Saccharomyces cerevisiae S288C: one gene and its partners. Changing the gene in region 3 together with the main gene of any one other region gives a genetic interaction. Each region holds a gene or a part of one and is shown on either strand. Other genes may lie near its edges.

The links.
Region 1: mutations in YMR155W (region 3) and BCD1 together harm fitness more than expected from each alone (negative genetic interaction), as found in Saccharomyces cerevisiae (one large-scale study listed by BioGRID).
Region 2: mutations in YMR155W (region 3) and GPG1 together harm fitness less than expected from each alone (positive genetic interaction), as found in Saccharomyces cerevisiae (one large-scale study listed by BioGRID).
Region 4: mutations in YMR155W (region 3) and NUP192 together harm fitness more than expected from each alone (negative genetic interaction), as found in Saccharomyces cerevisiae (one large-scale study listed by BioGRID).

Annotation. Positions count from the first base shown.
Region 1 is NC_001140.6:182,403-189,524, reverse strand, and holds BCD1 (Bcd1p), read right to left. Parts: upstream 1,602-7,122; coding exon 501-1,601; downstream 1-500. Other genes in the region: SRB2 (Srb2p), read left to right, coding at 1-394; VMA10 (H(+)-transporting V1 sector ATPase subunit G), read left to right, coding at 1,846-1,848, 2,011-2,352; MSC7 (meiotic recombination directing protein), read left to right, coding at 2,716-4,650; RRF1 (Rrf1p), read right to left, coding at 4,767-5,459; PUT2 (1-pyrroline-5-carboxylate dehydrogenase), read right to left, coding at 5,821-7,122. UniProt on the Saccharomyces cerevisiae protein: Required for box C/D snoRNAs accumulation involved in snoRNA processing, snoRNA transport to the nucleolus and ribosome biogenesis.
Region 2 is NC_001139.9:279,284-285,278, forward strand, and holds GPG1 (Gpg1p), read right to left. Parts: upstream 1,875-5,995; coding exon 1,494-1,874; downstream 1-1,493. Other genes in the region: mRNA-binding protein NAB2, read right to left, coding at 1-1,240; DEAH-box ATP-dependent RNA helicase PRP43, read right to left, coding at 2,351-4,654; protein kinase COQ8, read left to right, coding at 5,159-5,995. UniProt on the Saccharomyces cerevisiae protein: Gamma subunit of a guanine nucleotide-binding protein (G protein). G proteins are involved as modulators or transducers in various transmembrane signaling systems.
Region 3 is NC_001145.3:563,335-570,694, reverse strand, and holds YMR155W (uncharacterized protein), read right to left. Parts: upstream 2,145-7,360; coding exon 501-2,144; downstream 1-500. Other genes in the region: TPP1 (polynucleotide 3'-phosphatase), read left to right, coding at 1-395; RIM13 (Rim13p), read left to right, coding at 2,513-4,696; FG-nucleoporin NUP53, read right to left, coding at 4,833-6,260; YIM1 (Yim1p), read right to left, coding at 6,502-7,360.
Region 4 is NC_001142.9:365,947-376,862, forward strand, and holds NUP192 (Nup192p), read right to left. Parts: upstream 7,854-10,916; coding exon 2,802-7,853; downstream 1-2,801. Other genes in the region: FG-nucleoporin NSP1, read left to right, coding at 1-2,427; LOH1 (Loh1p), read right to left, coding at 9,169-9,828; IRC18 (Irc18p), read left to right, coding at 10,716-10,916.

The DNA of each region.
Region 1 (7,122 bases), on a different chromosome or scaffold from region 3:
GACTGCCGCAGCGGCGGATATCCCTCCGGCGCTGGTGTTCAATGGCTCATCTACGGGCGTTCCTGAGTCCATAGACACTATTTTGTCGTCCAAGCTGTCCAACATCTGGATGCAGAGGCAGCTCATCAAGGGTGATGCCGGTGAGACGTTGATCTTGGACGGGCTCACCGTGCGACTCGTCAACCTCTTCTCCTCCACTGGGTTCAAGGGTCTCCTGATAGAACTGCAGGCGGACGAAGCGGGCGAGTTTGAGACCAAGATTGCAGGCATCGAAGGACACCTAGCTGAAATCCGGGCCAAGGAGTACAAAACCTCATCCGACTCGTTGGGGCCGGACACCAGCAACGAAATATGTGATTTGGCGTACCAGTATGTTCGTGCTCTGGAGCTGTGAGTTCTTACGAATGCTTTTTCTTTTTTTTTTTTTCTGTTTGTATATTGCGGTGTATACGTATAGATAGATAGTCTAAATAGTAATCTTCAACCTTATGTATCTCGGCTCATGCAGTGAGGAAATCCATGGATAAGCCCGGATTGTAGTCATCGTCGCTGTCGCTGTCGCTGTCGCTGGCGTCCTGTGTTTCCTTCTGTACAGGTTCTTCTGTCGGTTGAGAGTCCTCTTCAGCGTCTTCCTCCTCCCTTGCATTGTCAATAAACTTGTTCAGTGTACTCGTATGCTCAAGTGGGCGGGGTTCCTGGTGTAGCACCTCGTAGCCCTCTGGTAGGTCAGCCTCTGTCATGGCAACGAATATCGTGGGAAACTCGATCACTGTGGTGTTCTTCAACAATTCTCCGATGCATTTCTCATGTATAGCCAACTCCACCAGTTTTTTTGAATCCATTATATGCGTGGTGTTGTAAGGGAACGTTTTCGTGTAGAATTTGAGCCCACTCTTCTGTAGGATCTGTGTTCTTTCCTCTTTGGTCTCCGAACCGTCTTCGCCCTCTATGCAAGAGCTTGTTCCAGCCAAGCGATAGAATTCACAGCATTTTTGGAAAACGTTCTTGCCCATCCCTTGCACCAAAAAGTCTGTCTCTTTGATACGGTGGCTGACATGTTTGAAAAGCTCCTTTTTCTCACCCTTTTCCTGCATAGGACATAGAATCCACTCCACGCTCCATACAAATAGGTCCATCGTTTTGTCCCACTTGCTCCTGTTTTGCGATGATCGCTGCATCCCCTTGGGTAGCATCAAACAGTTCACCCCCCTCCTAATTATCCTCTGACACTCCGTGCTATCACGATCATCCTCATCTATATCGTATCTTCTCTTCTTGAAATTAGAGTTGTGGCCGCCCACAGGCCCCAGAACCCGCTTGTTCTTCATTCTAGCATCCATCTTTTGTACATGCACCATTCGCTTCAACTGCGTCAGATAGTTGTAGTCCCTCTGGACATAAGCATTTCGTTCGTGCTTGTCGTCGTCCGCCTGTTTCAACGCCTCACTCGATATATACTCCTTAGGATCATGTGTTTGACCTGAGCAATTGTCCCTTGTCTTGTGCTTCTTGGAACACTCCAAAGAGCAAGTTTGCACCAAACATCTTGGACACTTGTATTTGAACTCTTTTATTCCGCATACACCACACAACACCGCCATACTTGCAAATTGCCACACCCTTCCCTATTAACTGGACTCCTATTCCAGCTCATCTCATCGAATATGAACTTTGACATCCACTATTATTACCGCGAATTTTTTTTTTTTTCAATTTGTTACCCTGCCTTGGGTATCAAAAATTTCATCTCTAAAAGGGAGCGTGATAGATAAAGCAATCACACCTTAAACAATACATTTTTTTTTTTCCTGCAATCTCCAAAGTGTGCAAGGTATACAAAGCAGAATGGTATGTGCCATTACATTACGTGTCAACACTTCTGTCTCTAACAAGCGTTCTTACTAACATGAAAAACTTTTTTAAAACTGTGCTCTCTTGTTGGACTGGTACCTCGTGACAAAGGTATTGGTTTTTTCATTGTTGCTCAGAACTATGTAATATTCTCTTTAGTCCCAAAAAAACGGAATTGCCACCCTACTACAAGCTGAAAAGGAAGCCCACGAAATAGTATCAAAGGCTAGAAAGTACAGACAAGATAAGTTGAAGCAAGCCAAGACTGATGCAGCCAAGGAAATCGACTCATACAAAATTCAAAAAGACAAGGAATTGAAGGAGTTTGAACAAAAGAATGCCGGTGGTGTTGGTGAATTGGAAAAGAAAGCAGAGGCTGGTGTGCAAGGTGAATTAGCTGAGATTAAGAAAATTGCAGAGAAGAAAAAGGATGACGTTGTCAAAATTTTGATCGAGACTGTCATCAAGCCTTCTGCTGAAGTCCATATCAATGCCTTGTAATATTGCATTACATTCTAGTTTTCTAATCATATATCTTTTTATAATATAATACCAATAGAATAAAAATGTATAAACTGACATTGCATTCGGTCTTTACGACTCTCGCTTTATCCATTCAGCCTTTTTTTTTTTTTTTTTTTTTTCTCTATCTGCTAAACGAGTAGTAGTATAATCAAAAATGTGTTATTTAGTATATCGGTTGTAAAGGAGAAAGTATGGTCTCTCTATTTTTATTTTATTAACGAAAAATACTAAACGCCGATGGGGATTACTATATAATTATAATAGTATTTGCAGAATAGTAGAATTCTTTTCACAGTTCACGTTCAGTTTCTCCTCTGTTTTATCGAACGTTTATTCATCATGTCCAAGGTCTATCTGAATTCAGACATGATTAACCATTTGAACTCCACAGTTCAAGCTTACTTTAACTTATGGTTGGAGAAGCAAAACGCAATAATGCGTTCTCAACCCCAAATTATTCAAGATAACCAAAAACTGATAGGCATTACAACGCTAGTTGCCTCAATTTTCACTCTGTATGTTTTGGTCAAGATAATCTCCACCCCAGCAAAGTGTTCCTCGTCCTATAAGCCAGTCAAATTCTCCCTTCCTGCACCAGAGGCCGCTCAAAATAATTGGAAGGGCAAGAGGTCTGTTTCCACTAACATATGGAATCCTGAAGAACCAAACTTTATTCAATGTCATTGTCCCGCCACAGGTCAATATCTAGGTTCTTTTCCATCGAAAACGGAAGCTGACATAGATGAAATGGTTTCTAAGGCAGGCAAAGCTCAATCTACTTGGGGCAATTCTGATTTCTCAAGAAGATTGAGAGTTTTGGCTTCTTTGCATGATTATATTCTAAATAATCAAGATCTTATTGCGAGAGTAGCGTGCAGGGATTCAGGAAAGACAATGTTAGACGCATCGATGGGTGAAATCTTGGTTACTTTAGAAAAAATTCAATGGACTATAAAGCACGGCCAAAGAGCGTTGCAACCTTCGAGACGTCCGGGCCCCACTAATTTTTTCATGAAGTGGTATAAAGGTGCAGAAATCCGTTATGAACCACTGGGTGTGATCAGTTCTATCGTTTCCTGGAACTATCCATTCCATAACTTATTGGGTCCAATTATTGCAGCATTGTTCACAGGGAATGCCATTGTAGTAAAATGTTCAGAACAAGTTGTCTGGTCTTCGGAATTTTTCGTCGAGCTGATCCGCAAATGTTTGGAAGCTTGTGATGAAGATCCAGATTTGGTTCAGTTGTGCTATTGTTTACCTCCAACTGAAAATGATGATTCCGCAAATTATTTCACCTCTCATCCTGGTTTCAAACATATCACTTTTATTGGCAGTCAGCCCGTAGCGCACTATATTCTAAAATGCGCTGCCAAATCATTGACACCCGTAGTTGTGGAGCTTGGTGGTAAGGATGCGTTTATTGTCCTAGACTCAGCTAAGAATTTAGATGCTTTATCTTCTATCATCATGAGGGGTACTTTCCAATCATCCGGTCAAAATTGTATTGGTATTGAGAGGGTTATTGTCAGTAAGGAAAATTATGATGATTTAGTCAAGATTTTGAATGACCGTATGACTGCAAATCCACTACGCCAAGGGTCTGATATTGATCATTTAGAAAATGTTGATATGGGGGCAATGATATCTGACAACAGATTCGATGAACTAGAAGCTTTGGTTAAAGATGCTGTTGCAAAGGGAGCTCGTTTACTTCAAGGTGGTTCCCGCTTCAAACATCCAAAGTATCCACAAGGTCATTATTTCCAACCAACTCTTTTGGTGGATGTCACTCCAGAAATGAAAATAGCACAAAACGAAGTGTTTGGCCCAATTTTAGTCATGATGAAAGCTAAGAATACTGACCATTGTGTACAACTAGCCAACTCTGCGCCATTTGGTCTAGGTGGTTCTGTGTTTGGTGCGGATATCAAGGAATGCAATTACGTCGCAAATAGCCTACAAACTGGTAATGTAGCCATTAATGATTTTGCTACATTCTATGTTTGTCAATTACCATTTGGTGGTATCAATGGTTCAGGTTACGGTAAATTTGGTGGTGAAGAAGGTCTTTTGGGTTTGTGCAATGCCAAAAGTGTCTGTTTTGATACTTTGCCTTTTGTCTCCACTCAAATTCCAAAACCATTAGACTACCCTATTCGTAACAATGCTAAGGCTTGGAATTTTGTAAAGAGTTTCATCGTAGGAGCTTATACAAATTCCACATGGCAAAGAATAAAGTCACTGTTCTCTTTAGCTAAAGAAGCCAGCTAGTTTACTTTAGAGGAAGCAACAAACTTATCAATAATTTGGTATTTATTATTATATAAAATGAACTTTTTATGTACAAGATTTATGATTTTTTGATTCTATACACGTTACGAAATTCCTCATTTTACAATGCTTTTTTCAACTTTCTGGAATTGGTCATGAAGCTTGTTCACGTAATCCTTATGCAGTTTTTCCAAATCCCTCTCAGCTTTTCGAACGGCATCATCCTTTTTGAAACTTTTGAATTCCTTTAGAATACTGCCTCTGATAGTTCCTAATGAGTCTTTTAGCGATGACTGCTTATATTCTTCAAATACTCTCTTTAAGTCTTTAGCTACTTTTAACCGGGATTCTGTAGTTGGTGGTGGTAACGAAACTTTCAATTGCAAATCGTTATTTGGGACCCTTTCAGGAGTTAAATTCAGGTTCGCAGCAAGCACCCCACTGATCACAGTTTTCACATCTTTGGGGTCGAAAACTGTTATTAAAAGTGCATTTTTACCTTTCAAGGATGTGGTAGCAATATCTGTAAACTTTCTGTTATTTTTGAACACTAAACTATTGAATACCTTAGGATTAAAATTTCCCTGTTTTATCTCATTCATTTTCTGTTTTTGAATTTCTAAAGTTTTTTTGAATTGAGTTTCTGCCTTTTTCAGCAGTTCATTCACGTCAATTTCATCTTCTTCGACTTTCTCAGTAGGGGTAGAACTTTTTTTCTTCAAAATTATGAAAGATTGACTAAAAGAACGATTAAATAGACGAGGAACGGTGACTGGTCTACAATTTAATCTAGCTGTGGTTAAAATCATTATTTCTTGCTGTTATTTTTCTTGTCAGGGACTGCTCGCCAAAGTTTCCATCTTTAAGCTTACGAATGGACGTATTTAATAAATTGATGTTCTGTTTCCGGACGGGTCCTTATGCCAAAAACAGAATGAATATGCGGCGAATAAATAGCAACGTGAATAAGTAAGTCATGACAGAATATAGAACGGGAATTTGGACGGTTGGTTCAATGAATATTTTTAAACTATTTACCTAGATAAATTAAAATTGTAAAACTAAAAAAACCTAATGAAGTAATCAAAACCCTTTTTTCGATAATCTAACATTTACATGAGTTGATGGATGAAGTGACTGCATTCGCGGTTCTATTCCACAAAAATTTTTTTATTCATAATTCGATGGATATTTGAAATCAGTCAACTCGTAGAAGTTCTCCTTTGTGTTTCTAATACTGACAAATCTGCTTAAAATGTTTGGACCACCAGCCTTATCGTCGGTACCACTCATTCTTGCGCCACCAAACCATTGCTGAGAAACAACGGCACCAGTACACTTATCATTTATGTAGAAATTTCCTGCGCTAAACTTCAACTTCTCATCTGCGTATTCAATTGCTTTACGATCTTTGGCAAAAATAGCACCAGTTAAGGCGTATTGACTCGTATTATCGATAATATCACAGATTTCATTAAATTCAGTATCTGGATACTCGTAAACAGTTAATATAGGGCCAAAAAATTCTGTTGACATATATGGATGATCTGGTCTCTTGGCTTTTATGACTGTGGGTCCGACAAACCAACCTTGGCTTTTATCGTATTGTCCACCGTAAAGAATTTCCAACTCGGGGTCTTTCTTTGCATCTTCAATTACTTTAACTAATTTGTCGAAACTTTGTTCATGGATGACAGGACCCATAAATCCCCGCAAATTCCCACCAGAAATTGGACTTGCGGATGTGTTCATTGGGACAACATTCTGTGACTGCAATATGCCAAACATATCGGATAAGAATTCTTCACTTTTTGACTCTGGAAGATATAACCTGGAAGCGGCAGAGCACTTTTGGCCTTGGAACTCGAAAGTGCCTCTAATAGTAGAGAGTACTGCATGTGATATATTTGCACTTGGGTGAACTAGATGGAAATTTTTACCACCTGTCTCACCAATAATACGGGGGTAATCTCTGTACTTCCCTTCAACAACGCCACTTTGTATTTTGCCATACAAACTCTTAAAGACATTTGTAGAACCGGTAAAATGCAAGGCACCAAAATCTTTATCAGCTAATACCTGGTCAGTAACTTGAACTGGATCACCTGGAATGAAATTTATGACACCCTTTGGCAATCCCGCTTCTTCCAAAACAGTCATCAATAAGTAATTTGAAAGGGCAGCGGTTTGTGAAGGTTTCCAGACAACTGTATTACCCATCAAAGCTGGAGCCCCAATCAAGTTTGCAGCAATAGCAGTAAAGTTGAATGGTGAAACAGCATACACAAATCCCTCTAAAGGTCTGTATTCAGCTTTATTCCAAGTACCATCCGCTGACTCTACGGGTTGTTGAGCATACAAGTCTGATGCATACTTGACATAGTATCTAAAAAAGTCAGATAATTCCGTGATACAGTCGATTTCTGCCTGATACACATTTTTTCCCTGGCCCAGCATTGTAGCAGCTAACAT
Region 2 (5,995 bases), on a different chromosome or scaffold from region 3:
GTTCTAAGGACTTTTCAACCGGAGGTGGAGCTGCTTTCTTCTGGCTTATTGGTTTTACTTCCTTGATCTTCGACAATGAAGAGTGGGCCTTTCTACACTCAGGATTATCACATGTCAAATTCTTGTCACACCACATTAGATCAATGACTTTCGCATCTTCATTTGCTGGTGTTGGATGACCAAATGGGCATGATGGATTGGAACACAGAGCCCCAAATTTACACAGAACGATACCAGTTTGTACCGGTTTCCTTTTTGCCGCCAATAAATCAGCTTTTCTTTTTTGAAATTCTTCACGAGTTCTTTCCATTTCCTTCATCAACTCTTCATCTTCATTTGGATGTAAAAACTCACAAGTTCCGGGAGGCTTTGGACAATTTGGATATTCATTACATACCTTAGTTGGGTGTGCATGTGGGCATGATCTACCAAGAGGACAGTGAGGAAACAATCTGCAACGCCCCTCTTTCTTGGTTGGAGTGAAGTTCATATTACTCTCACCCGCCATTCCAAGTGCTTTTGCTAACGGATTAAAACGTGTGGAATTATTGTTGCGTCCTCCACGGTTCCCACCGCGACCACCTCTACGATTCTTTCCAACGGCGCCTCCGCCACGTTGAGTGAACCTTTGGCTGTTATCTACAGGCGCAAACTGAGGGGGAGCTGCAGCGTTAACAACGCCGGAAAAGGCTGATATGGGGGATGGAGTTGCAGGAGCATCTGTCTGCATTGCATTCTGGGTCCCTAGTTGTGGCTGAAGTGGTTGAAGTTGAGGTTGCTGTTGAGGTTGCTGTTGAGGTTGCTGTTGAGGTTGCTGTTGAGGTTGCTGTTGAGGTTGCTGTTGAGGTTGCTGTTGAGGTTGCTGTTGAGGTTGCTGTTGCGCGATGTCTGGTTGCTGTTGTTGTTGTTGCTGTTGTTGCTGTTGTGCGATATCCGATTGTCCCAAGCTTTGCGCATTCATCATTCTAATTTTGGAAACAATATTTTCAGCACTTTCTCCCTGTTGCAGAGCTTCTAATGCGAAAAAGGCTGTTTGAACAACATTTGCAAGCGTATCTCTCGAAACACTATCAAACAAACTAGCCAGCTCGTCTACGACAGATTCAACAGTACCACCGTTAACGATCAATAAGACAATATACTCCGCAACATACTTGATATCTTCGTTAAAGTTTGGTATACCAGCCAGTTTTTCGGCAACGATAACCTTCAAGTTTTCTGTGTACTGTTCTTGAGACATTTCTGATGTACTTCCACTTCCTTATGATCAGAGATAATTAGAAACCACTATATTTAGATGTTTTATGGAAGTATTTGGAAGAAAGATGTGTAAAATTTTGTATTTTTCCCATTTGCCACCAGCGAAGCGAATATCACTATTTCCCCGCTTCGTATTTTGTGTAACGATGTACGAGAATACAACAATGTTTATATAATTGTATATGAATGTTCTCTTCACATTAAACTCTGTGTATAAGGTCGCGTTGAGCAAGCTAGTGATAGAACCTTCTCCTAGGATACATAGAAAGAGTGTCATCAGTTCTTGTTAGCTCTTCTTGTAACTGTGTGAACAAATCGTCGATGTCCCAGTCCAGTTCTGACATTTTCATTGAAAGCACATCCCTATATAAACGTCTCGCCTGGTTCCTTTTTTCTAGCAAAAGTGCTAACAAAGATGGCAGTGTTGTGGCAGTAACTTCCCTTGATTCAGGCTCAATTTTGTAATGAACCACACGATCGGTAAGTGTGTGCAACTCTCCGACAACGGTGACGAGGTTTTCTTGAGTATTGGAGAATAACAAAACTTCCCAGAAATTATAAGTTGGTTCAGCCCCAGCCGAGGCTTCTTCCTCGATGTCACTTAGATAAAACATGATTGCTACTTAAAAGATTTCTTATCTTCTCTGTAGTTCAAATTAGATAGTGGAAAATAAGTTTTCTTAATATACAGATATATGCGGTTTACCCCAAAACTACTTTGATGGGAAGCCAACATCCTCGTTGAAATTGAGTGATTAATTTCGTTGCAAGAGTAAGATGCTCGTTTTAAGCATCGTTAAAGGAGTAATTTACCTTTACGGTAATCTTTGCCATTTTTAAGGGAACTTCCTCACACCGCGGTTTGTTTCTTTATTTGTTCTTGTAAAAACACCTCGAAGGGAATATAGGATGTGCTCTATATAGACATACCCAACAAAAGAAAAAAGCTTCTTTTTGATACAGGGCGCTATGATTTTAGTACAAGCAGCTTTAGGTTACGTGTACCTATTTCTAGTTGAATTTTCTCTCTATGAAATAGTCCTATAAATTTATATAAATCTATTTTTTTTTTTTTTTCGACACAAAATGTCTATTTCTTGGAGTGCTTACTCTTCTTTTTGTTTTTACCTTGTTTCAACTCGTTTAATCTATCAACTTTTTCCTTGATCCTTTCCAAAGATAATTTGACATCACCTTTTTGGAAATTGCTTAAGTCGTAGTATGCAGGCGCTATTTCAATCAGCCATTCGGGCCTGACCGAGGTCACAGTTCTTATGTAGTTCTTCGATGTGAGCACAAATTCATTGTAAATGACCCATTCTGCGTCGTGGCCAAGAACCGTACTAGGATGGATCAGAACATCTTGGTTATCTTTAACTGTGATGTATCCTTTAGCTCCCGATCTTTTTTTTGCTACTTGCATGAAAAACCCAGACGCAAGAGCCTTTCTGATGTTGTCAAAGTATTTAGGGCTTTCATAGTCTGTAGTGTTTAATTCTAGGTTGTAACGGTTCATTAATCTTTCTAATTGGGAGCGGATATTATCAGCAGCGGAAAGGGACCTGTAATTTAGATAGTGGTCACGGCACCACTTATGGATACCATATTCATAAGCTTCATCCGATTTGAACGCATGATATACATTTAGTAAGGTGATATGATCACCGTCTGGATGAGCAAAGATATTCTTGGCATCATCTGCTCGCTTCTTGTCCTTTGTTGGGCGAATAAACACGTTTGGAACCGATAGCATGGCCACTATAGTTAGTATTTCTTGAGAACATTGGAACTCAAAGGACCCAATTAACATCACCGCTAGCATAGGATCCAAGGGAAACTGGGATGCCAATCTACCTAGGGGTGTTAAGTTACCTTCGTCGTCCAGACATGCCAAATAATTTAGTTCTTCAAGGGCTCTCATCATTGTTTCCGGAGCCGGTGGATCCATAAAATCGAAATGGACCAAGTCATCAATACCTAATTTTTTTAGTTCTAGAACGGTGGAGGATAAATTGGAACGTAAAATTTCTGGGTAACTTTGCTCTATCAGTTCCTTTTGGAATGCCTCTTCAGTGTATAATCTGAAACATTTACCAGGCCTTGTACGACCAGCACGACCAGCTCTTTGTTGGGCAGAAGCCTTGGAGATAGGGGAAACAAGTAAAGACTCAACTCTAATTCTTGGATTGTAAACTTTTTGCTTTGAAAATCCTGGGTCAACGACGTAGACAATACCATCAATTGTTAAAGAAGTTTCAGCGATGTTCGTGGAGATAACAACTTTCCTGCCTGGTCTACCATTATGTGACTCTGGAGCAGGCTCGAATATTCTTTGTTGTTGATGCGGTGGTAATGAACCATACAGTGGGTATACGGATAAAGGTCCGCATCCCTCTTCTCTAACCAATTGATCACCTTCTAAGGAAATCTTTCTGACAGCGTCTTCAATTTCATCTTCACCAGTTAAAAATAACAAAATATCGCCAGCCTCTTCAGTGGCATGAATTTGCAAAACAGTACGAATGGCAGAATCTAAATAGTCCCTTTGAAATTCCGGTGTATAGTATAGCTCAACTGGATATGTTCTGCCCGGAACGGCAAGTAATGGAGCATCGTTGAAGTAGCGTTGGAACTTCTCTGCATCCAGAGTAGCAGACATAATAATTATCTTCAAATCAGGTCTCCTCTTGACTACTTGCTTCAAAAGACCCATCAAAATATCAGTAGCTAGTGTACGTTCGTGCGCTTCATCCAGAATGATACATGAATAACGCGACAAGTCATGGTCTTCCATTGCCTCTCTCAACAACATACCATCAGTCATATACTTCAATATCGTTTTATTAGAAGTTTTATTTTCGAATCTGATAGAATAACCAACTTCTTCGCCCAACTTGACATCCATTTCCTCAGCAACTCTCTGTGCAACAGACATTGCTGCGACACGACGAGGTTGAGTACATGCAACTTGAGTGTTCTCTAAGTGTGGCATCTCATCGAATAAAACGAATTGAGGAATTTGTGTCGTTTTACCGGAACCTGTTTCACCAACAAAAACCATAATCTGGTTATTTTGATAAAGTTTTAAAAACTCATCTCTCTGGGCATGTACTGGCAATTCTCTTCTAATTTTCAGGATATCAACATATTTTGGTGTAAACTCCCTACCGGTAAATGGATTTATTTTTCCATCTTCAAGTTTTTGGGCCTCTTCTGCTGAAGTATGGTGACGTTGCAAGCCCTTGAATTCACCAGCATCATGATGGACAAGTGGCTCTTCGGATGGAAGAGGATGCTGTTTGGATAATTCTTCCGCAATCTCGGCGGCCTGCTCAGGAATAGAGGTCTCAACTGGATCCGGGTGTTCGGACGAGAATCTTCTTTTGGAACCCATTATTATTCTTGCAGTCCTAATCTTTCTATGCGCGTTTATAAGGTTATACTATCGTTACTCAATCGCATCCCCGTAAACGTGTTAAATATTACAATTGAATAAGTTTCTTTTCACCTCATCTCGCATTTGAAAATTTTTCAGAGGCACCGAAAAAAAAGAAAAAGAAATAAAAAAGGACTTGTGTATAAGATCGCTAGATCAATAAAAAGCAATCTGGTAGATTTATGGGACTCCGAAATGATACTGTCAGTTGAAACAGCAAACGAATACAGAGCGTAAAACTAAACGACCTTAGTTTGGAAAATGATGAAATTTGTCCATAACTATATACTATCAGTCAGCAAACTATGATCCGGGTAATATTCATTTGTAAAGCTTTAGATCTGTAATAGTACCCAGTACTTTTTTAGATGATCTTAATTAGTTAAGATCTTTCTGGTACTGTACTCAGTACGCTTCCTTGGCATCCTTATTGGGACCTGTTCGGCTAAGATATCGTTCGATATGGTTACAAATATGGTGAAATTGAGGAATTTAAGGAGATTGTATTGTTCATCCCGTCTCTTAAGAACTATACAGAACGGGAGAATTTCTTCTGTTTCTTCAATATCGTTGAGTAAGAAATATACTACAAAATCTGCCAAAGAAGGTGAAGAAAACGTAGAAAGGAAGCATGAGGAGGAAAAAAAGGATACATTAAAAAGTTCCAGTGTACCAACTTCACGAATATCGAGATTGTTCCATTATGGCTCACTGGCAGCAGGGGTGGGCATGAATGCCGCAGCAAAAGGCATATCGGAAGTTGCAAAGGGCAATTCTCCCACTTGGAAATCTTTGATTCTATCAGATTCGAATATTGACAGAATTACCAATAAATTTTCTAAAATGAGAGGTGTTGCCCTTAAAATAGGGCAACTATTGTCTTTTCAGGATGAGAAAGTGTTGCCAAAGGAATTATACGAAATTTTATCAAGGGTACAGAATAGTGCAAATCATATGCCTCAAAGGCAATTGGAAAAGGTTATGGCCAAGGAATTAGGTGCTAATTGGAAGACAAAGTTTTCCAAATTTGACAAGATACCTATGGCAGCTGCTAGTATCGGACAGGTACATGCGGCAGAGTTGCCCAGTGGTCAAAGAGTGGTTGTCAAAATTCAATATCCTGGGGTTAAAGAATCCATTGATTCGGATTTGAATAGTTTACTAATGTTACTTACAGCCTCAAGTTTATTACCGAAGGGATTATTTTTGGATAAGACAATTGCCAACGCTAGAACTGAGTTAAAATGGGAATGTGATTACAACAGAGAGGCTAGAGCTCTACAAAAGTTTGAGGCGTTG
Region 3 (7,360 bases):
ATAAAATTTTGCTATTTTTAAAGGCAATCAAAAACGATGAGAGAGGAGAAACGTTATCACACAGGTTATGGCTATATGCAGCACCTAAAAGGCCGAAAACTTTTGCAGCAAATCATAGTAAGATCACATTCGCAAGCTTAGGTGAAAGTTATAACAATGATCCTAACATATTCGAAAAAGTTCGAAAACCAATGACAGGAATGGTAGAGTTTTTTAAAAGGGACCTGGAAAGTGCATACAGGGTTTCAGAACAAATTTCTCCCATCAAGTTGAATTGGATATATTATTGCGGTGACGCTGCTGGGAGGAAAAAGGACTTCAGTGATTCTGACATAAAGTTTGCTGAAAACTTGCACGTTGAATTCAAGTACCCTGAGGAAATATTTCACGGGTAGTCCGTTGTAAAATGTTGAATATATACCAGTATATAGTAATATTTCTTAAAATGTTCATTTGTGATGGTGAAAAAGAATATGAAAGCAATGTCAGGATGACACCGTCTACAGGGAATTTGCAGTTGCTCTTCTTCGATAGTACGTATATCCAATTATCCCCAAAACGAACAAAAGATTAAAAGCGGCACAATATTTCGTAACCATAAAAGTATAGCTGTAGCAAAGCACTCCCTTTTTACAGTTCCCATCATCATCTCCTGTATTTGCCTTGAAATCTCTACCTAATATATCGGTAAAAACACTCACTGAAAATACACCACCAGTCGTTAAAACACCCCACAGCGTACTATACCCATTTGTGCCAAATCTATCTGCTACTATGGAGGGGAAAGTACCAAATAGAACGCCAAAAGAATAACCGAAGATCGCTGAGCATACCGAAATATTCTTGAATGATTTGGAGGCTCTTAAAGAAGGATCTTCAATGCTGCTGAAGTCATGGGATATTTTATTCGATGCAAGAAATACCAAAAGCGATGCTATGACAATATTCCATAGTCTTTGAGCTTTGAATTTCTTGACCAAAAAATCTGATATAGGCCCAGATGATAATCTGCCGCAAAATGAAAGAAGAGACAGGAGAGTTACTTGTAATGATTGAATTTTTTCTGCATTAATTGGTAATTGATTTAAGGGTGGAGTAGAAACCTGGGCTTGTACCATAAACCCCACAGAATATATGTACATTAAACCCACGCCTTGTAGTATACCCAATACTATGTAGTAACCAATAAATGTTGAAGATTTTAAGCTTTGGAATACATGTAATCTCATACTTTTCTGTGCGCTATTCTCGCCCACTGTATTTTTGCTGGTATTCTCATCCTCGAAATCATACTTTGTGTGTGGGGAAGAAGGTGATAACAATGGTCGATTTGATAACTGTCTATCCTCAAGTGCAAAAAATTCTGACGTTTCCTGAAAATTGTCTGACAATGCATAAGTTTCATAGGTAGCAGGGGATGATGAACGCACAGGTGAACCTATATAGTCATTACTGTTCTCATATAACGGTACTATATTATCGTCTGTTTCCCTGCTTTTTTGAAGCTCCCATTCCTTAATGCTAGCATCATCTCCTTCTGCATTAGAGAATATATCTAATGAGAAATAGCCTACTAAAATCATGCAACCACACGCAACCATCAAGAAAATGAAGACATGCTCGATGTTCTCACCAAAAAGCTTTGAGCAAAGATATGAGAACACCATGCCCGATAAACCGTATAGGGACACAGGAAATGCCCCAGCTGTACCCCTGTGTTGAGGAAAATTTGTATTTGCACATTTCACAGAAGCGTAAAAACCTGAGACAGAACCATATCCAATGAGTACCAAACTTAACGATATGAGAAAAGTACTAGACCATTCGTGCTTATAGCATAAATTCAAAATCAAATACGCGATGAAAACACACATTGAACCAATTAGACAGGACAGTTTAGGACTTCGATCGACAACTATTCCTGCTAAAATTCCCATCAGTGAGCTTCCTATTGTTAAAGAGAAGGATAGCTTACTTGAGGCAGAAACAGGTATGTGGCACTTGCTCAGTAGCTGAGGAGCATAAAATGAGAAAAGATAAGGTGTTCCAGCACCAAGGGCAACCACGTTACCTCCCACAAAACTTTTGAGATGTCCAAAGTGATTTGTATTACCCATTTTACTATTTTGGTGTTTCTTTACCATGGCACTCTGTGAAACATTGGTTGCTGTTTATCGAGTATCTTTGAACCGCGCAGGATTTATTTACCTTATCTCCAGATCTTCGATATCGACCAAATGTAAATATATTTCTGTAGGAAATAGAGGAACAACATAAACTTGAGGAGAAGTGGTTTTTCATGGCTCAAGTTATGCTCTGAAATTTTAAAGAAAACATATATACTTCTTCTTTCTTGTATTCTTGCGGATATTTATCCCTTTTTGATTTTATGATACTACAGTTAAATGTTCTTTTAGTCGGCATAAACGGACCACAATAATCAACTCTAGACAACTTATTAAACGGTTACTCGACCATTTCAGTCGAAGACAAGAACCTTGTGGTATCAAAAATGAATGATTGGCATGAGTTCAATGCCGCGATAAAGTCAATATATTGTAATGCAGAAGGTGACTCAAGCAGTATAATTAATAGATTGGTTGGCTTGGCAATGAAAAGCGAAGATTCCACTTTTATTGAGGCCGTTTTAGTTTTGAAAGAAAATGTGTCGAAAGTAGATAAACAATTAAGATTTTTATGGCTTACTTCAACTATTAATTCAAGGTTTTATCCCCCTATACCTATCTCAGAAGCCTCACCGGTTTCTTGGAATAAAACCGAATATTGCGCACCTGGTACTGAAGAACTACAAAGGCGTTATCCAGGGAGAGCCAAGTTACAGAATGAAGAAGACTATTCAGGCGGAATAGAACAATGCCGAGATGTGCCAGATTGCTCATTAGTTGCTTCTCTAATTAATCTTAGGTCTAAGAACTTGAATCTCCCTCTAATTAAACAAATATCATCAACTAAATATCACGTCAATTTAAGTTTTAACGGAAGCAACAAAAGGCTAGTGACAGTAGATATTTCGCAGATCCCAACCTCAGTGGATGGCAAACAACTTTCTTTAAAGAGTAACGATATTTCGGACAAAATTGGAGAGCTTGCATTACTGCTTGTTTCTAAAGGAACATATTCCACGGATGGCTCAAATATTAGTATAGATACTTACCGCTTAAGTGGCTTCTTACCAGAGATAACACAAGTAAACAGCTATCCTTTCGAAAAATTATGGAAGTTTCACAAATCTAATTTATGTCTGATGGGCGCTGGCACCGGGAATCGTTCCAATGACATGATAAAGCCCCTAGTTGAGAACCATGATTACTCTATAATTGATATCACATATGATTCTAGGCTAGTAAAATTGCGAGATCCGAGGAACTCGGCACTAAATGTTGAAATCAGCTATGAACAGTATTTAAAAAATTTCAAACAACTTTATCTTAATTGGAACCAAGAAAAATTATTCAAACGTTCTCAGGTACTTCATTTTCGGTACGATACTTCACGCTACAATAAATTTTCTATCGTTGCAGATAAACCTTTATTTCACCTGGTAAACAATTCTAAAGTGACAGAGACGGTATGGTTATTGCTAGAATCCCATTTGCAAGATGAAGGCAGCCAAGAAAATCGGTCAGTTTCCTTTTTGAATGAGGCTCCCGAATGCATAATTTGTCCAATTGAACCTCCAGTAGAATGCGGTGGCAATCACATTGGACTTCAGCTGGTAAAGTTGAGATTAGATGCTGAGACTGAGAGGTTATTGTATTGTTATTCAACAACAAACAACAATTTCAGTATTCACTCTTTCTCAGTTGTGAAGGAAATATGTTTTCAAAGATTGAAAGATACAAAAAGTCTTTTTGCCAAAGTCCTTTTCTCTTTTCCTTATGAAATAGAGGGAAAAGCCTCATTTGATACTTGTAATTTTTTTCAAAATCCGACTTTTGAGTTGGAAGTTCACTCTGAACAAGATTATCAAGTACTTATGGACGCCGCATGTATCTCAACTAGCTCACATGATTTAATTAACATCCAAGTATATTACTTTAATGACTATGAATTGATAAAGCCAATAATGTTTGATAACCACTATCAGCCCGGGCAGGGCCTTAAACAAGACGTGCCCATCTTAACTAATGTCAAATATATGATTGTATGCTCAACTTACGGCCCTCCAGCCTCAACGGAATTTGAATTACTTGCCTCGATACGGTTATCCTCTTCATGGAGGTTAATATCTGGAATAACTTTACGGAGTGTTAACTTGATATACGGTACTTATCCATATCATTGTCGCAACAGGTTCCATTGGAAGGAAACTTCAGACAAACTTAAAATTCAGATGACTTTGCCAACCAAAAAGTATTCTACGAACAAACTTTTTATACGTGTAGTACCCGTGGAATCATCAGCACGATTAAGGATGCGATGTAATATTTTCGAGCCTGAATCAGCTCTCTGTGTTTATGAATGTCAAGAGTATAGGACATGTCCATCTGGGGGCATCGTTATACCTGATCTGGAAGTCTCTCGTACTAACATTGTTGTATTGATGATAGAAAGAAGTGTACCTATTTCCAGTTGTTTACCTACGGAAGGACAATTGGATGAATTGGAGTTGTTTGTTGGGTCCAGTCAAAAAATCAGAATTGAAAAATACTCCGATGATGTGATACCAAAATAACTGTGCTTTATCTCAAGAACTGTCTATCCATCCTTTTTACAATTCTACACACAAAATTATATAACCTTGAAGTAGGTGAACATCACAGGATGCTGGAATCGCACCAAAGCACTACATTTGGGGGTAAGGTTTTTCATTACAAATCATTCCATCCAAATAACCAATTATTCAATCTATTTAACCAACTTTTCTTACTCTTGCTCGCTTGTTCCCTTTTCTTCAAGTCAGACTCGATCGAGCTCAGGACACCACTGTGGATCTTCCCTCTGTTTCTCAAAAATAATGAACGACCATCCTTTATTTCAAGCCTGCGTGGATTTTTGAAGGAAGTAGAATTCTTGGAAACCTTGAATTCTGCATTGCGCACTTTTGAAGTAACTGCTTTTGCCTTAGCTTTCTCAAAAATTCCTTCTGTTTTTCTATAATTGCTGAGGTCTTTTGAGCTTAAACTAGTTTGTGAACTTGTTTTATTGTTTATAATTTCCTCCGATTTCTTCAAGGAAGCTAATTGTTTGAGAGCAGCCGGACTATACGAAACACAGCCAATTAATGTTCCATTCATTATAATCCCATTTTCTTGTAAAGCACGAGATTTGGAAAGTTCGGATTTGTAAGTCAACTTGACCCATCCATCTCCTGTATATATGGGATATTTTTGAGCAGTCAATGACGGACTTTTTGACATGTTTTTCGAATTCAACTTTTTAAAATCTTTTATCACTCTAAAATCCTCTAAAATTTCACCGAAATTAGCAAAATGGAGTATAATAGAATTCGCAATCGTTTCTGGATATCCAAAGATAATAATGGCATGATCATCCCAATTCGTCGAGGCCCCTTCCTTACTCCCTGCACTAGCTTCACTTGACGCAGTATTCGGCGTTGTTTTCGTGTTTTTGTCGAAGAAATTAAGTATTCTGGAGGTCTTTTCTAGTGGACGGAAAGGCGAAGGTGTGGCTGTAGGCTTTCCATCAAAGGTTATGTTGGAAGACAAATTAGGATCTTCAATATTGTCAGTCTTACTTGAAAATATACCATCTTCTTTTTGCCAATCTGCCAAGGAGGTCTTGGGCGGTGCCTCATTAGAATCAAAAACTACCGTACCTAAATCTGAACTATGAGCATTGTTGTTGGCACTGTTATTATCATTTGGAGATACGTTTTTAAGGATGCGTGGATCTTTTTTAGAGCCAAAAGTGACATTGTTGAATCCATTGGAATTGGAAAACGCAGGTACATCTGCACTATCAGAACGTACGGGGCTTAAAGATTGGCCATTTGATCTCTTTATTATTGAATTTGGAATGGCTCTTTTCCTTGGATTATTGAACCACGCTGGATTATCATTCAGTTCTCCCGAGACAGTAGAAGGCGGATCTTCCATGAACAGCGGTTGTGGTGCACTCGGAAACCCGTTTAAACCTTTTAACAGTCCCGTTGGCTGCTTTTGCTGCTCCAGCTGCTCCTGCTGTTTTTGTTGTTCATGTTGTCCCTGTGATTCGGGCGCGATAACAGAAACATTGGTGAACCTGCTACTATTCTCTTGTTTTTGAAGGTCTGCCATTTTAAAAAGCTATGTTATTGAGAGTGCAGAGAGAATTTGGGCTAGCTGAGCTGTATATTTGAAACGTAGTTTGCCAGCTAATGCATCTTAAATTCTGTTTAAAAATATTGTGATGAGCTTTTCTTTCACTTCATGACAAGTCGGTCGGGTAATGCCCATCAAATAATACAAAAACTAATAACAATTATAATTATAGAGTTTAACTAAATATACTAACAAGTTTATGTGGAAAATATTGCCCTCATTTCATCTTAACAACCACTTTACCCTTAGCTCTGTTGGACATCAGTCTGTCAATAGCTTCTTTATATTGATCAAACTCGTAGACGGAATCAATAGGTGGCTTATAAGTGCCCTTCTTGATCATTTCGTTGCCAACTTCAATGAAGTTGTTGGGGGGATAAGGGTGTCCAAAGCGCCAGTTGTATTTTTTGAATGGGTTTATAGCCTTTAAAATAGAACTCAATGATACGAAATCTCTCCAACTGATATTCTTATAATCGGCCTTGTTATTTCCTGCAATTGTAACGTAAAAGGAATTTTTCGCCTTAGGTTTTAGAAATTGATCAATGACAGGGAAGAAATCATGGTTACCCACTGAATCAAAAATCATGTCAAATTTGTCGTTTTCCAACACGCTTTGCTTTAATTTCTTAACATTCTCAACGATGGATCCTTCGTCATAGGGAACCAAGTAGTCATATCCTAATTTCTTATTGCGTTCAATGGAATTCTTGCTACAAATGCCAACAACAGTGCCGATGTTGAAGTAGTTTTTTGCAATATGGACAAAAGCATATGACACAGAGGTTGAAGCGCCAATAACCAGAACTTTCGAATCAGAAGTCCAATCTTTCTTGAAATCGTATAATGTAGAAAAGGCTGTACCAAATGTTAGGGGCCAGGCAGCAGCATATACAAAGTCGTCATATGGGTCATTTTCGTCCTTTGGAACCTCCACCATATGTGTGATGGGTACATCTTTGGCAGGGTTGAGTATCAAGTAGTGTGTTAAAGTACCACGTTCACCATAAATATGACTGTACATACCATTCACTTTGTCGCCAACCTTCCAGCGATTGTCGACATCCTTTCCCGCT
Region 4 (10,916 bases), on a different chromosome or scaffold from region 3:
GGGACTGCCAACAATAACTCTAACACCACCAATCAGAATTCCTCTACTGGTGCGGGCGCCTTCGGAACAGGTCAATCAACATTTGGTTTCAACAATTCTGCGCCAAATAACACGAACAATGCAAACTCTTCAATCACACCTGCATTTGGTAGCAATAACACTGGTAATACTGCATTCGGTAACAGTAACCCCACAAGTAACGTTTTTGGCAGCAACAATTCTACGACTAATACATTTGGTAGTAATAGTGCAGGGACATCCCTTTTTGGATCTTCCAGTGCTCAACAAACGAAGAGCAATGGAACTGCTGGAGGAAATACATTTGGTTCTTCATCCTTATTCAATAACAGTACTAATAGCAATACGACAAAACCTGCGTTCGGCGGTTTGAATTTTGGCGGCGGCAATAACACAACTCCTAGCTCGACCGGTAATGCTAACACAAGTAATAACTTATTTGGCGCTACCGCAAATGCGAATAAGCCAGCCTTTTCCTTTGGTGCAACCACTAACGACGATAAAAAAACAGAACCAGACAAGCCTGCTTTCTCCTTTAATTCAAGTGTCGGTAATAAGACAGACGCTCAAGCTCCCACTACAGGATTTTCCTTTGGTTCACAACTAGGTGGAAACAAAACGGTTAACGAGGCTGCAAAGCCTTCCCTTTCATTTGGTTCAGGATCAGCTGGTGCTAACCCAGCTGGAGCTTCGCAACCCGAACCTACAACTAATGAACCAGCAAAACCAGCCCTCTCTTTTGGTACTGCAACATCCGACAATAAGACAACTAACACAACCCCAAGTTTTTCGTTTGGTGCTAAATCGGATGAAAATAAAGCTGGTGCTACTTCTAAGCCTGCCTTCTCATTCGGTGCTAAGCCAGAAGAAAAGAAGGATGATAATTCCTCAAAACCAGCTTTCTCATTTGGTGCCAAATCAAATGAAGACAAGCAAGATGGAACGGCTAAGCCAGCATTTTCCTTTGGTGCCAAGCCCGCGGAGAAGAATAACAATGAAACCTCCAAGCCGGCATTCTCTTTTGGAGCAAAGTCTGATGAGAAAAAGGATGGTGATGCCTCTAAACCTGCCTTCTCTTTTGGCGCTAAACCGGATGAAAATAAAGCTAGTGCTACTTCTAAGCCTGCCTTCTCATTCGGCGCTAAGCCAGAAGAAAAGAAGGATGATAATTCCTCAAAACCAGCTTTCTCATTTGGTGCCAAATCAAATGAAGACAAGCAAGATGGAACGGCTAAGCCAGCATTTTCCTTTGGTGCCAAGCCCGCGGAAAAGAATAACAATGAAACTTCCAAGCCGGCATTCTCTTTTGGAGCAAAGTCCGATGAGAAAAAGGATGGCGATGCCTCTAAACCTGCCTTCTCATTTGGTGCTAAATCGGATGAAAAAAAGGACAGTGATTCTTCGAAGCCTGCCTTCTCATTTGGTACTAAATCGAATGAAAAAAAGGACAGTGGTTCTTCGAAGCCTGCCTTCTCATTCGGTGCTAAACCCGATGAAAAGAAGAATGATGAAGTCTCCAAGCCTGCCTTCTCATTCGGAGCAAAGGCTAACGAAAAGAAAGAAAGTGATGAATCAAAATCAGCCTTTTCATTTGGTTCTAAGCCTACAGGAAAGGAGGAAGGCGATGGGGCGAAGGCTGCCATTTCCTTTGGTGCTAAACCCGAAGAACAGAAATCCAGTGATACGAGCAAGCCAGCGTTTACTTTTGGTGCTCAAAAAGATAATGAGAAGAAAACAGAGGAATCTTCTACGGGGAAGTCAACCGCAGATGTCAAATCAAGTGATAGCTTGAAATTAAATTCTAAACCAGTAGAATTGAAGCCAGTTTCTCTCGACAATAAAACACTGGACGATTTAGTAACGAAATGGACTAACCAACTAACAGAATCGGCCTCTCATTTTGAACAGTATACCAAAAAAATTAATAGTTGGGATCAGGTACTAGTGAAAGGAGGTGAACAAATTAGTCAGTTATACTCAGATGCTGTGATGGCGGAACATAGTCAAAACAAAATAGATCAATCTCTACAATATATCGAGAGGCAACAGGATGAATTAGAAAACTTCTTAGACAATTTTGAAACCAAGACAGAGGCACTTCTGTCCGATGTTGTGTCTACAAGTTCAGGTGCTGCGGCCAACAATAATGACCAAAAAAGACAACAGGCCTATAAGACAGCCCAGACTTTGGACGAAAATTTAAACTCGTTGTCATCCAATCTTTCTTCTCTAATAGTAGAAATCAACAATGTTAGTAATACATTCAACAAAACCACTAACATCGATATAAACAATGAAGACGAAAATATTCAACTAATCAAAATCTTGAATTCACATTTCGACGCTTTAAGGTCACTAGACGATAACTCCACCTCTCTGGAAAAACAAATCAACTCGATAAAGAAATGATCTAAAAGAAAAAATTCCCTCTATTCTACACTTATTTGACATAGGATGTGCTATATTAAATAATTATATATAGGTATCAAAATGTACGCGATGGTTCAGAACCTGCAATTAATTTAACACCTCAATCATACTTGTTTTTTTCCTTTTTCAAGAAGTTTTTGTAATGTGTCGTGCCGATCTGTAAACGACCTGGATTTTTATTTCATTAGACAGTAAATACGCACCAAATCAGAACCAAAGAAAGGCTTCTGTAGTGTATGAAACTAAAAGCCACTTTTTGTGATAGTTTCTTCTTAGTACTTAGTACACAACCAAATATTTTGCAAAATGAAATCGATTCCTAAAAGTAATTCTTAAAAGTGATAATGAATGACTTAATCGTTATTTTGATATCCTGTTAATGTGCATAACATCACAATTAGCTTCACCATTTCGTTTAAACTTTGGTTATTAGGATCCGACGAATTTTTCTTATCTTCTTTTTCCCTCAAAAGATCTCTTTTGAATATTCCGATCACTAGCCTCTTATACGTATTCAGTAAACCCTTTACCGTTTGAACAACAGCTTTGTTTGAGCTCCCCATGCTCACTAAAACAGCTGATATCAATTGGAATATAGGAACGATTAACTCAAACAAGGAAACACCATTAGCATCTTTGTCAACTAGTAGCGGATTATCCAAGGTGACGTTAACCTTTAAGAATTTGGAATTCTGAACGTAGACTTCGTCAAACATAAGGTCTAGACCCAAATCAGGATCAACTTTTAAAAATGACAATTCCGCGATTATTCGGAATAGATTATTTTCAATTAAAGCGCTAGCTCCACCTCTAGTTTCGGCAACACGTATTAAAAAGAATACAGTGGCTTTAAAAGCTGTCAATTCATATAACAAATCATCAATGTTTATGTGCTCTGTAGTAGAATTTAACAAAGCATCTGTATTTTTCAGCGAACGTATTATTAAGAGCAGTCTTGTAGTTTTCATCAGTGAATCCAATATAAAATTCTCTTTACTTCTATTAGCCAGTTGAATAAGTGAATCCAATAGTAATATACCTGTAACCCTACTAGTTCCCTCGCCATAAACAACATCGTTCCATATGATCTCTACCAATTTTTTACTTCCTAGTCTCAAATCCTGCAGAACCTTTTCGGACCCTACTTGGTCGCTTAGAACTCTACTCAAATAATGGTTTGCTAATATATAGAAATCGGACCTTAATGCCACAGAGGAGAGTGGGGAGTTTATACCCTGAATACATGTCTTGAACAACTGATATAGCCTGCCGTCTACCGTGCCTTTGTCGGTAATCAACTTACGATCGCGGTTATATATATCAAATAGGAAAACGGCGAGAGAAACCAATTCTTCTGAAAAAGTTATATTAAACTCAATATAATCACTAATCTTCGGAATAATTGTACCAAAAACCTCCAGAATAAAGTTTGATCTTGTTGATGGTTCCAATTTTCCATCAGTAACAATGATTTGCACCAACTGTACCCAAGAGTGCAGCACAGATAGGTTCAACTCCAATGCTTTGTTTCTTGATATAATATTCGTGAAATGGCTTTTTGCTTTTATACACTCGACATCTGCATCCTTCAAAAATTGTTCTTTTGACACAGTGAGACTGAAGGAATTAGAATGTAAGCTTTCAGCACGGACTCTTTTAATCAGGCGCATAAGGTTTTCCATTTTGTGAAAGTCATAGATATTGCCGGAGCAATACTTGTTAAGAGTGACTTGTTCCAAATTTAAAGGAACATTGGTGAAAATTGATAACGTCTCTTTTGGTTCGCAGATATTGCCATAGTTTAATGGATCCAAGAAAGAAAACAACCTTACCGAATACATTGTATTTGATATCAAGTAATTCACATATGTTAAAACCTCTGATTTCGTGCCCGAAAATGAAATTTTATGAATGAACAGACCCAAATATTGTGTCCAATAATTCCTGTAGGCTAAGAATGACAGAAATGCACCAACGGATTCGCTCTCGATGAAGTTCTTACATTTTTCCTCTGTAGAATTGTCAAAAGGAGAGCCGTTCCATGTCGTGAACCTTGTCACTTGTGGATCGAGGATCATTATTCTCTCAAAAAAGTTTTCTTTGATTAGGTATGAATATAGTAGACCAGATGTTAACGGATTACGACATAGTTTGAGAATAATTTCCAGTGCTGCTGTAGCCAATCTCATAGGTGCATAATCGATATTGTCCTTAGTAATGCTGTTCAATGAAGCTTCCAACACGCTTATGAGGGAATCAAGTAATGAGGTTCCGGAAGATATAAATGTTGCTAGGTTAGGTCCCAGGGATATAACGTTTGAGACCTGGAAACCTAATAACAGATGAGAAATAGTCATCGTTCGACTATAATTAGAAAGATTTGATGTTAAGAAATCTAATAGTTCTAACTTCAAAGCAAGGACACCAGCGTCGGTTATTGAGCTTTCCAATTGTGTAATAAATGCATCCTTTATTCTGGCTGATTCATCTACGGAATCGAATATTGTTAACAACTTATTTCTCTTAGACAAAGACGCAACGGAGCCATTAGAGCGTTCTGAAAGTTTCGCCAAAATACGCAGTGAATTTGTGGCTAAAATTTGATCATCGACCCCGACGTATAAACCCAAGTGTGCAACAAGTGGAATATTGAAAAAAATTGCATCGTAAAATGAACGTAATCCGTGAAGAGAATAATTCTTTGGCAAGAAATAATCCGTCTTGCCATGCTTCTTAACAATTGGAAATAATTCTTCCACGTATGTCTCCTGATAATCCAATACTTTATTGATAATTTTCACAGCTAACTGCAACAATTCAGCCTGATTTTTGCCACCTTCTAACTCTATGGACAATTGATCAACACCAACATCAACTACATTAAATATACTTTTGTAAATCTTTTCCGTGAAAATATAGTTGAATATGGGGATAGCTGGGCATTCTTGAACGTAATTGAAGAAATTTTCGCAATCCACCAAAGCATCCAAATTCGCAGCTGCAGGAATAGAATTTAAAATTACACTGTAATCAAAAGAGCATAAGCCCGTATAGATAATTTTCAAAATAGGAAGCTGGACGGCTCTTTTATTTCTGATATCAACAATTTGATCCACGTGCGCTAAAATGTCGTTGAAAATGTAGTCAAAATATGGCCATATACCTACCTTCCTATATCCCTGACCTAATCTTGTTGGAAATGCCAATTTGCCAAAAACCATGTATTCACTATTATTTTCACGAGAATGAATAGAAATCAGATTATGGAAGAGTTGTAAAAACCCCAAAACGTCAGAGTATTTTGTTAACACGTTTGTAAAAGCATTTCTATAAGATTCGGATGAATAATTCAGCGATGAATCCTTGAAAATTAGAGAGTCTAGAAAAGACCAAAATTTTGTTCTAGAAGATTCAAGTTTTGGAACCAAGTTACTTATAACCTTGAAAGCAGCGCCTACGAGAGGTGTATTTATCTTGGTGAATTCGAATAGGACATCTGAGAAAACTTTCGATAGCGAGCTTTTTACATCCTCGTCAACCTGGTATGTAACTGATCCAACTAAAGTTAATAAAGAAGACAGAAATATTACAGCTTCTTCATTTAAGCCTTCTTCTAAGGCTACCGCAGTCGAATCGATATCGTTATGAGTTGACTCACTAAACTGCTGCCTCTTATGGAGGCTCGAGTTAAAATTGCTTATTTTCTTAGTGTAGTCACTGAGACACTGTGCAATGTTTTTCCATGAAATCGAGCTGTTTTCGCCAAAATAGTGATAGACATTCAGGGCATTTTCAGGACCAAAGGACAAGCTAGAAACCATCAAATAGAAACAAGACCTCATCAAGTTGTCGTTGCATCTCGAACACCACTCAATAAAACCATAAGCGTTTGATTCCTTATCAGACCAGAAAGTACATGAATATTCGGGCCTTGATGCATAGAAAAAATATATTGACAGAAAAAATCTTTCTAAGTCAGCCTTTAGTGAGATGTCATCCAAAGTTAAGTCTTCACCGGACAACAAAGAGTCTTCCTCAGCATCCTTAATCTTTGTAAGCAAAAAGGCACAATCTGTAATAATAGTTTGAAGCACATCATCAAAGGATGAGAGGAAAAATTCTTGGGTCTGATCGGATAAAACTATAGTAGTGTAAGAATATTCGTTGACGTTATTGGGCATACTATTTAGTCGAGCGGTACCCGTGGTTGACATCATCCCAGGATAAGACGGATTCCATAAGCCGCGTCCGCTCATATTATCAGTTGCGGATGCTGGGTTGTAGGTAGAATTCGTCGTTTGACTGAAAATTTTTTCATCATCAAGTAACTGTTTAGGAATTAGCCTTGGAATATGCCTTTCTAACAGGGACCTTATATCGTAGAAAAGTTCCATACTCTTGTCTTGTTCCACGATAGATGTATCTGCGGCAAATATTAAAATTTGTTCAATAGCGCCTAGTTCGACGGCAGAAGTCATTGGCTCATCAACATCAGTTTTGAAATCCATCGTGTCAGCCCTTCTTTTAGGGTCTTCTTTACACCACCCAATGAAGTAAGCAAAAAAAATGAAAATAAGAGCTACTTTGACCGGTTTGGTATATATGGAGTCGTCCTTTAAGTCTTTCATAAACTGAGAATGTAATAATTTGACATCTGCATCGGGCAAAACTCTTAAAGATGCGAAAAGGTGGAAAAATGCAGGAGTATAATATATTATAAAAAAATCATTGGAATCCAATTCTGACACATGATGAAGTAAGGACAGTATAAAATCCTTATTTTTCATGATGGCTCCTTTATCCACTAAACCATATAAAATTTGACTCAGAATATCATATTCTCTCAGTAAGAAGTCTCTCCTAAACTTGATATTTTGTTGGAATAAAGCATTATAGTTTTCTAGTATCTGAGCCTTATTGATTTGTTGTTTAATCTCAGATAATTGAGTATGAATGAACTTAAAGGCTGAGAGGATATTAGAAACTAAAGCTCCATTCTTTATAAGCTCTTGGTATAACTCAGTATCTTCGTGGAAACAGTTGACTATAAAAGAAACAATTTGCAGGATATATTGCCTTCTCAAAAAGTATTGTACTTTGCCATTATTAGCGGTGGTATCACCAGAAAGTATAAGTTCACATGCAACAATTTCATCCAAGTTTAATTCATCGGACAAAGAAATAGCTTCGAAAATAAACTCCTGATTGACCTTAAAAGTAGAGCCATCGGATAGTTCAATTTCACCTTTTTCTAATTGTGATCGGCTAGCATTGTTTTTTAGTTTGTCTGTGTTTAAGTTCAAATTTTGTAAGTCAGGAAGTACCTCTTTGAACAGATCAAAATCGAACTCACCACTCTCAATAGAGCGATACAATGTTTGGAAAGGAATTGCAGACCATTTCATTTTTTCTTATCTGCGGAACAAATCTTTTCAACTAGGTTAGATGCCAAGTGATATAAGTTATATATATTTCGTGCTTAGGAGGCGTGTTGTTAATTGGCGTACCCTGAGGAAATAATTTATTAAGTATAGTGTAAACTAAGTGGCTAAGAAAGGTATTGGTAAACTAGTTGAAAGGCAATGGGCGCATTTACTAAATACTACATCACACTTACAAACTAACCTTGTTATTTTCCAGCAGAAAATTTATTTTCATCAAAAGACGAAAACGGAATCATACTACCCGGCCCGAGAAGGACTTTGATGAAGACCGTAGTTAGAATGGGCTCACTAGACTCGTGAGCCGTTTCAGTTTAATTATTATTATATATGTATACCAGTGCTTTACCCAAAAGAGAATATTTACGTGAAATACTACGCTCTTGCTGGGACCTTAACGTGTATATACTATCATAAACTGAGACTCTTCGTAAATTGCCCCTTAACAACACGGTGCTGTGAATGCTATCACTTGATTATACGCCAATAAACTTCATATTCTTTGAAGAGCCGCTGCTATTGCATTTAATGCTAAGGAAGGTTAACAAAGCATTAATGAAGAATAACTACAGGAGTAGCCAAAAAAATCTCCGCGACGGGGAATTGAACCCCGATCTGGCACGCGACAAGCGCCCATTCTGACCATTAAACTATCACGGAAGAAACAAAGCACTCACGATGGGGGTCGAACCCATAATCTTCTGATTAGAAGTCAGACGCGTTGCCATTACGCCACGCGAGCTACTATTTGTTGAAGGTTTTACTACTTTATTATAGTAAAACCTAATTACGCTTTCAATTACTACAATTTTCGGATTTTCACGGCTGGTGAAATAATGCAGCCTGTATTGCATAAAATGGCCGCACTTATGAGAACTGATACAAGTTGTTTACCGTTGGGGCACCAAGGTGTTATTAGTCAGAAATAAATGTAAATTTCTTATACTGCAAAGCAGAGGTACATATAACACACATCGATTGGTTCATCTTGGCTACGACTAATATTTTTGGGATGCAGGTGAATAATTAGATAATTGTTGTAATTCCATTGTTATTAAAGGCTATAATATTAAAGGTTATTTGGGTCTTTCTCTCTCTCGGCTTTATTTTATTTATAGTTTCTATCTTTCAGCTTTCAAAAAATAATATATATGGCGCTTCATGAAAAGAGAGCTAGCTACAGAAATATAAACAGTCATGGATGAATAGGCGGCGGCAGCTATGCCGGTGCATGCGCACAGTATAATGGACTTAAACTGCCTTAGTACAACTGTTCAAGTTATTGAATAGCATTATATATTAGTGCCAACCAAAATATGAAACCGATGCTTCCAACTGTCACCCCAAGAAGACACGCAAAAGGTGCTACTGCACATAAATCGGCCACTCCTTGAGCTAGACCCAATTCTAACAGACTTACAGTTAGGATTCTCTTTATTCTGTCTAGTCGTTTCTTTTTTTCCCTCGCTTCTTTTTCTTTTTCGTCTTCTCTACCACCATTTATAGTAATTCGATTCTGTTCTCTACTGAGGTTTTCTAAAGCATTAACTACCTTGCCCCTGGAGACTTCTTTAAACTTTTTGATATATTCAAATGGTGAAACATTCAAAGCCGCATCTAGTGCCTTTTCCACCTTTTCATATTCTATTTCGAGCGACTCTCTCTCATTATTATCCAAACTTTTCACTTTATAATTTAGCACCGCTTCTAAGCCCTTCAAAATAAAAGTATGCTGCTCATATTTTGCACTAATGTTTTGAATTTGTCCCTCGATAATAGGCACCTTCTCTGCTGTCAATGTTTCGTATGTTCCATTGTTGTCCAGATTTCTCAATGATGTGATTAACCTATCGCCCGCATCGCTGAACTGTTGTATTGTGTTAGTTCCTGCAATCACAACAATGGTGAAATAAAAATATATGAAAAGCTGGAACCTCATTTGAATTAGTTTACTTCACTAGGCTCTTTTATCTTCACTTATTGTTTTGTGGTGTCTATTTTTTTTACTGACAGTTTACACTTTTATAGTCTTTAAAAAAGCAAAAAAAATAATTCTTTTATTTTTATCCCAAGATAATAAATATTTATGTATTGGATAGTAGTATAATTGAGTATAAAAATTATTTTTGTAGTACTTTTTCAAACTAATCTCTGCAAGACATATCTTCCATATTTTCACAATTATTTAAGCCGATTGCAACAACATTCACCATAGGTGCCTTTTCTGCGGCAATGCGTAGCCCTATAATTAGCTGCTTGAATGAGAAAACCACAAAAAGGGGGATTGAATACATAGCATAGCTTACACTGTATCTTAGTAATTTTTTTCCCTTCTACTTTGTTTTTCGCAGGGCCTTTGCCTTTGGAAAAGGGTACACGAGTCTTAAGAGAAATGAAAAAAAATGACACTAAATCGGTGATAATAATTTGTCGTTGTGACCACAAAAAAGAATTCATAAAAAAAAAAACTTGATCATTGGCGCCACAACCTAGTCATATTTGAAATCATTTTTTTCCTTTATTTTTTACCACAGGGTGCGTTTAGAAGAGACACAAAATCACTCTAGGGTTTTCTATCGAACATAAAGTAAATCATTTTTATATTCCAAAATTGCTCGAAGTAAATCTCTTGTTTTCCTCCCAAATGAAGATCAATATTAAACCTTTCTGAAAATCTTTTTTAATACAGATTACATTATAGAGTTGTATACTCTTCGATCATTTAACTTCTCTTTTATGGGTCATATATCTCTAATTGTCTCTACAGTACTTTTTTTGCTTTTCCAATAAAAATCATAATCACAGCCATAGTCACAAAACTATAAGATGAAAGTACAAATGATAGAAAGGATTTTTCTGATCCAGTTGTGTTTGCTTACCGTTGTATTAGCAAGTAGTAGAGCAGTGGTTGAATTCGAAAGTACCGGAACCAAACTGGTCAACTCATTAAGGGTCTTGGCTGCTTACTCGCAGAGTTCTGTCTGTGTTGATGAAAAAATATCTGGAATCGAGAGACAAATAGAGGAA